2 linked regions of the Kluyveromyces lactis genome follow. The protein of the gene in region 1 purifies or fractionates together with the protein of each later gene. This does not show direct contact. Links are inferred from orthologs where the notes say so. Each region holds a gene or a part of one and is shown on either strand. Other genes may lie near its edges.

Region 1 (3,639 bases):
CTGTTGTTCCTCCGTGAGGCCTAAAAGGTTATTGAAATCCGTCATCAAATATCCAGTGACACCTGCACCTTGACTAAACCCACAGATACCATCAAATGGTCCATTTTCGACAACGTACTCTTTCAAGAATTTCAAAGTCACGTCGGGCAATCTGTACTCCCCATGCAACGGATCCGGTTGAAGCCACGCGTGATAGTCATCCCCAGAAGCAGCGCCGATATCTGCAACATCGCTAGGAAGATCTGCTGGTGATAAATTAATTGGTGCTGTAGGGTAGAAGAACTCATATCCAAGTGGTTCTAAGACCCGACGAAAACCTTTCGTTTTCGATTCAAAATAAGGACCAGACTGGGCAAGCCCATGCAACATCAATACTTTCTTAGACATTTTTTAAAAACCCTAGAACTGTTTATCTACCTCACAGCCTGAAGCGGTGTTAAATCCAAATCCACTAATAATAGAAACCGGACATAAATACCTACCCATATACTACTCCCCTTCAGAATACTGGAACAGAATTGGAAAACGTTGATGAACTTTTTTTTTTTTTAAATTTTCCTTGCGATGAGCTCCCTCTCCCTCTCTCTCTTTCTCTGCGAATCGGATTATCTCCTAGAAATCTTCGTACGCAGCTGGTTTTTCCAGGTACCTCTCGAGAGAAAGAGTACAAAATGACTACATAAGGATGACTACGGGATACATGCTAATTTTGATACTCATAAAAAATAAAACTAATAATATATAAGAGATCCTGTAGACACCTCCACTCATTTGCCTGTATGGTTACAAACACCCCGGCTGATAGTAGTCTGTATATGACCACACTGAGCTCCCACAAGTATATACTATCTACCGTTTACTTATGTATCATTTCTTCCTTTTATTTTTCGCTTTTTCATTTTTTTGCTTGATTCTGGATCAAGTTTTTTCTGTTTAACTTTTCATTATATGAAATTCGCACTCTAACAGATGATGATCTAGTAATCAGATTCAGTTACAATTTTTGGGGAAACGGAGCAAAGTCTTTGTGCCTTAGTCATCCTCTAGCTCGAGCAGGGAACTTCAGCTAGATATTTTTCTGAAATTTCTCAGTGCTCGTGCGTGTGCTTGGCCAAAATTTTTTTTATTAGTTATGGTTTGTCCGCATATGAATCAAGTGGTTTCTAACCAAAAGCTTGGTGACGCAGTGTTGAAAGAATGCGAAACGGTACGATATCTGCTTCGCCACGCAGACTTCAAGAATAGAACTATGAGAACCATGAGATGTATGGATTGTGGTGAAATTAGCTGTGGATCGACTTTCATTTGCTTGCAATGCGGATTTTGCGGGTGCTGGAATAACAACCATTTCTTGGATCATTCTCAAAAATTGGGACACATCTTTGGGGTTAATTCATCAAATGGTCTAGTGTTCTGTTTCAGATGTGGTGATTTCATGGCTGATCTGGTCGCTGAAATTCCGGCTAGCCAATGGGATACTGTAATGGAAAAGACCGAGCTACCAGCTAGCTTACACAGAGATGGATTACAAGGTTTGGTGAACATGGGATCCACCTGTTTCATGAGTAGTATCATTCAAACCATCATACATAATCCATACTTTGTCGAGGACCTGTTATCTCATAAGCATTGCAACAATTGTGACATTAAATCAGGAACCAAGTGCGTCTCTTGTGCATTGGATGAAATTGCTTGTGACTTTTACGGGAATGGACCTGGGACAGGGAAGTCTTCCTCCGTTAGCAAAGGCTTTGTAAACCTTTTATCTGCATCATGGCATATCAATCATCATCTTGTTGGCTCGTCACAACAGGATGCACATGAGTACTGGCAGTTCTTATTGAACCAACTGCATACGGATCATGCACGAGTATTCGGATCGTCAAAGGCCCCTGATTGTCAATGTATCACGCATCGAATCTTCCAAGGATATCTTAAAAACACTTTACAGTGTTCTCAGTGTGGATTCTCAAAGACCACAATAGATCCAATCATGGACCTTTCCTTAGAGATCAAAAATAACCCTAAATTAGAAGATTGCTTAGATCACTTCCAAAGAGAGGAAACATTAACCGATTTTCACTACGAATGCCAAAGCTGTAAACAGAACCAGGGTGTGGTGAAACAGTTAACGTTGCATAAGGCTCCTAACGTATTAGTTATACAGTTGAAAAGATTCGAACATCAACTCAACGGTCAAAGCGCAAAATTAAATGATAGAGTACAGTTTCCATTGCATTTAAATCTAAAACCCCATTTATTCCAGATTGAAGATGAATATATTCCTAATATTGCATATGATCTACTAAATGTAGTCTCCCATCAGGGGACGGTTGATCAAGGTCATTATACCACGGTGAGTAAAACTGAAGATGGACAATGGTTTAAATTCAATGATTCTGTTGTCACTTCAGTAACGGAAGAGCAAGTATTGGAACAACAAGCATATCTACTTTTCTACATTATTCGTTGAATATGTTAAAAGAAGAAAAACTCCTAAATTGGTTTACTAGGTGGCTTCCGTATATATATGTCAGAAAAGAAACCCAAATAACATCACACCAATCGACGTGTTATTATTGCCTTTATATCTTTTTTTTCAATATACAGACCCATATATATATAGTATTCTATCTAATCGAAGAAATCATCATCATCATCATCATCTGCACCGTTGCGGCCATTTCTACCAACACCAACATTAAATTTGCCTTTGATACCTGATCTTATACTGTTATGACCGTATCTCTGTTTCTTTTCTTGTTTAGTATAATCATCTTCGTGGTTCATTAGCAATCTACCATCTTTCTCGTCTACTGCACCAATATCAACCATAAGTCTTTCAAAATCTTCCAATTTAGTATCTTTTCCACCAAGTTCGAGTAGTGTAACCAAATGTTTTACGACATCACCTTTGTAATAAACAATCAAAGTCGGACAGTTGTTATCTGGATAATTCTCTATTGCTCTATTACCAGGAATTTCCACGAATTTGATTTGGGGGAATTTGGCTGCTGCTTTCTCAAAGATACTAGATAATAACCTACTTTCAAGTTTGGCTTGACAAGTTAAATGAACAAACACATAAACCCCTCCTTCAAACTCTGAAGAACCATCATCAACATATTGTGATTTTTTAGTGCCTTTACTGCATTCTGTGATCTCTCTGTTGTAATCAGGTTTGCTGATTGGATATACTGAACCAAATTTTGCCTTTTCCTGTAATTTCTTGATCTCATTGAGACGTTTCTGTTTATAAAATTGTAGAAATTCCTCATCTTCTTCATCTTCCAAATCCTCCAAATCTGATAGATCCTTGCCGTCTAGTCTATTTTCATGTTGCTTTGCCAATGCTTCTTCTAACGCTTCTTCTAGCTGCGCAGTTGGTGATGGTGGTCTTTCTGGAATTACACCGTGAGCTCTTAAGATATCGTTCCACTCGGTATCTTCTGTCTCATCGACTTGCACTTGAAACATAGGCTCATTTTGCATTATGGTTAGATTGTGGTGCTGCAGAAGCTGTCAAGTAATCTTATGTGTAGGTTTATTCTCACCGGTTGGCTCAGTTTAGTATGAAATACTGATGCCTTCATGCTATTATAAATTTAAAACTTAAAAAAAAAAAATAGACACCATTCA
Region 2 (4,016 bases), on another chromosome or scaffold:
CCCATATGCAGGCGGTGTTTTCTTCCTATCAATCCATTTCCCAACAGATTACCCCTTCAAACCACCAAAGATCTCTTTCACCACTAAGATCTACCACCCAAATATCAACGCTAATGGTAACATCTGTCTAGATATCCTAAAAGATCAATGGTCTCCAGCTTTAACTATCTCTAAGGTCTTGTTGTCCATTTGTTCTCTTCTAACAGACGCTAACCCTGATGATCCTTTGGTCCCTGAAATCGCTCATTTGTATAAGACCGATAGAGCTAAGTACGAGGCTACTGCTAGAGAATGGACTAAGAAGTATGCTATTTGAAAGAAATATAACAAAAAAAAAAGAAGAATGAACCGAAGAAAAGAATACTACAAAAGGACAGGGTTCGGCGGAAAGTAATATCATCTTAATCCGACTAAAAAAATACTCAAACCTTCCACCATTGTATATCCTACCCCTTTTTGTTATCGGTACTTTCAACTCACATCGTTTTGGACTTCTTCTGACACAATTCTCAACTTCAAGCTTTCAAGGTTTAAAGTATTAGAAAGAATAGTATATATATTAACGCACCAATTTTCTTTATATTATATTGTGTATGTGCTCATGGTACATGTAGGTATATATACCGTATAATTTTGATATATTTCATTTCCATTAGACGACTGTTTCCGACAGGTAAGCTAGAACCATTGGTTATAATTATACAAGATTTTTCAAGACTTTTCAAGACTGGTTTTTGTCCACAGACATTGGTTTCTGAATGTGCCAATTTGGTCACAATTATAGAAATGGAGAGACATACGCCTGATCATTCTAGCTAGTGAAAATCAATTTATCAATGCTTACCTAGGTACTAAAAACCTACCACAACTAGTCCTATATATATAGATACAACTGGGTAGAGCTGTTGGATACTCAACTCTTGTATGTTAAGGCTAAGCGCCGCTGAAACGAATAAGCCGTATGACTGTCCCAATATCACTTTATACGTTTTGATGTTTTTTGACATTTCGTGAATTTTGGAAAACACAGACAATCGGTGCAACTGATGGACAAACAAGATTCGGACCATACACTCAAAAGTCGTGCCGTTTACAGCTTGTATCAGTAAAACGAGAGGCAAGCGAGCTGGTAGTGAAGGAATTGATTCAGAATTTTCCTTCAAAACTACTCTTTATTTACTCTAGTGGTTCTTTCTGCGGAAAAAGTTGACTGTCCATGATTACAAGTTACCAGCGGTCCGATGCCGCCGCAATACTTCGAACCATCCAGAAGTTATTCGCAGATGATGTATTTAAAAAGCACCTCAATCCGAGTCAGTTACTTTTATTGAAGTACTTGTTGAGTCTACCAGACCAAGAATCAAAGACACTTATATGGGATGCGTTTCTCTCCGGCAAGTTGGAACTATTTGTAGAACTGAATACAACTCTTAATGCAACTTCCGACAAAGGTGCCACTAATGATTTGGTAGCGGCTACCAGATTACCATCATTATCAACACAACAACAACCTCAAGCTAGTTCTGGACTCTCGAGAACTGGCACTCCTTTACATGATTCGACTGATAACCAAAGTGTTGACGATGACGACAGTGATATGATCGATTTGGAACAATTGAAGGCCCAGCTAGATGGACTGGATTTTATAGGAAATTTATCTATGAAAGTCAGGTACGTTGTATGGGAACATGGACTCACTCTCCTTGAGCCAGAAACATCCTCAGAATACCTTCTACTTGACACGGATAATGATAGCGCTGTAATAGAGGATGGAAGTAATAATACTCTTATAGATCAAAGTGCGGTTCCCAACTCTTCCACGCTTCCTACAAATGACACAGCACCCTTGACTATGAAAGAAGTGAGCAAGAATAGCGAAAACAAAGAAGGCTCTGATGAAGATGATAACTATGATGAAGATGATGATGACGACGACGAGGATAATTACGATGATGCTGAAGAAGATCCTCAAAAGATAGAAAAAAATGATACAGAAAATGGAAAAATCTCTCATCCTAATGATCTTGATGAGAAACCCAAAGTGTCAGATGAAACTGAATCGCCAATTTACGAGCAACTTGATAACGGACTCATAAGACTGCATTTCATCATCTCAAAGGAAACTTTGAACGAACTTCCATCTGTAAATACCTACGATATCATCGGTAACTTTCACAAAATATATCATCTCTTTGACAATGATAAAGAGACCACTATGAGGCGTTTAAAACTTCAGGAAAATGATCAAATGCTAGAAAGCTCAAGGAAAAGGTCTCACGAACAGATTGAAGACGAAGAAGAGGATGACTCAGGGAACCCTAGCATATCTCATCATAAGTCTGCGGCAGATAAGAAGATCAATACTAAGACTAAAGCAGATATCCAAATGGACCTCGGTGTCGTAAATCTGTCATTAAGGCATTTGCTCAAATCGGTACAGGAAAATAAAAGTAAGCTAGATATTTCAGATTACGAACTTAAACATTTATTAATGGATGTTAGAATGAACAGATCTAAATGGGCTTCTGAAGATAAAATTGGACAAGAAGAATTATACGATGCATGCGAGAAGGTGGTACTGGAACTCAGAAATTTCACAGAGCATTCTACTGCATTTCTTAACAAAGTCAGCAAGAGAGAAGCTCCAAACTATTACCAAATAATTAAAAAACCAATGGATTTGAACACTGTGCTGAAGAAGCTCAAAACTTTTCAGTATAAATCTAAACATGAGTTTGTTGATGATATTATGTTAATATGGAGAAACTGCCTCACGTATAACTCGGATCCTAAGCATTTCTTGAGAGCCCATGCAATTGCGATGCAGAAGAAATCTCAACAACTAGTACCACTAATACCAGATATAACAATCCGTGATAGAGCGCAAGTTGAAAAAGAACTAGAAGATATAGACGCCGAGAGCAACATTAAAGACGATGAAGAGGATGCTGGTTCAGGTCGTAAGGGTATTCAGAGACGTGGTGTTCAAAAGGTTATTGACGATGAAGAAGAAGAAATGGAAGAGAACCATCCTGGAGGTAAAAAAACACGAGCAACTGATGCTGAACGGAATCAACAACAATCCACCAATAAAACAGTAAGCAGTGACAAAACACCTTCCACTAACGAAGCTGAACAAACGCCAGAAGTTGGCATAGTTTCTGCAGAGGGGAGAGGCTCCAAAGTGGCTCAATCTTCGACTAATAACGAATCTACTGAACCAGCAGTTGAAAGTAAAGCAGTGTCAACTGTTGAAAAAAACCAAGAACATGAGGATGCAGAAGAAGAGGAAGAGGAAGAGGATGAAGATGAAGAAGATAATGCCGCTGGAATGATGCTTCTTGAACGAGATGACGATAAGGACGATCTGGAATTGTCCACATGGAAAACACTTACAGCCAAAGCCCGTGCTGAAATTTGTTTGAAAAGATCACAATTGTTCAACGAACACAAAATTAATTCCGAATCTGATGCCCTCTTGAAAAATCCTTCTAAATTAAAGAATTTTGATCAGTTCTTCGAGGAGTATAAGCAACAGAAAGAAGCAGAATTTGCAAGACAAAAATTACAAGAACAGTCAATGATGAAAAACGGTTTTGGGGCAATAATGAACCAAGCAGATAGCAGTGTATCGAATTTTTCTGACACGAACGTTAAATCACAAGATGCCGAAAGTTCCTTGACTAAAGAATCGAATGAAATCACTCTCGAAGATTCTTCGTTATTGACAGAGTACAACATCACTAATTATATCCCGGACTTGGCATATACAGGTATTGGGAAAGAACAATTAGATAAAGCTGAGGAAGCTATGGTTCAAAAAATTATGAAGGAAGGAAAAGTAATGAAGAGCTCTTTGTTGAATACTGTCGATAAGGGGTTGAGTCCAAAAATGAACACGAATATCCAGTTGATACATGAGATTAGGCATATATGTCATAAAATTTCTTTGATTAGAGCACTACAAAATCCAAATAAACCCAAAAATTCACAACAACCGCTAAGGTTCAAAGAAT

Evidence for each region.
Region 2: the proteins of UBP8 (region 1) and SPT7 purify together in Saccharomyces cerevisiae (affinity purification with mass spectrometry; 18 studies listed by BioGRID, with this or other methods). This does not show direct contact. The link is inferred for Kluyveromyces lactis from reciprocal best matches to the Saccharomyces cerevisiae genes UBP8 and SPT7.

Annotation. Positions count from the first base shown.
Region 1 is NC_006039.1:603,178-606,816, reverse strand, and holds UBP8 (ubiquitin-specific protease UBP8), read left to right. Parts: upstream 1-1,132; coding exon 1,133-2,473; downstream 2,474-3,639. Other genes in the region: KLLA0_C06996g (alpha/beta hydrolase), read right to left, coding at 1-387; PLP2 (Plp2p), read right to left, coding at 2,635-3,492. UniProt on the Saccharomyces cerevisiae protein: Histone deubiquitinating enzyme component of the transcription coactivator SAGA complex. SAGA acts as a general cofactor required for essentially all RNA polymerase II transcription.
Region 2 is NC_006041.1:1,117,426-1,121,441, forward strand, and holds the start of SPT7 (SAGA histone acetyltransferase complex subunit SPT7), read left to right. Parts: upstream 1-1,216; coding exon 1,217-4,016. Other genes in the region: KLLA0_E12563g (uncharacterized protein), read left to right, coding at 1-316. UniProt on the Saccharomyces cerevisiae protein: Component of the transcription coactivator SAGA complex. SAGA acts as a general cofactor required for essentially all RNA polymerase II transcription. At the promoters, SAGA is required for transcription pre-initiation complex (PIC) recruitment.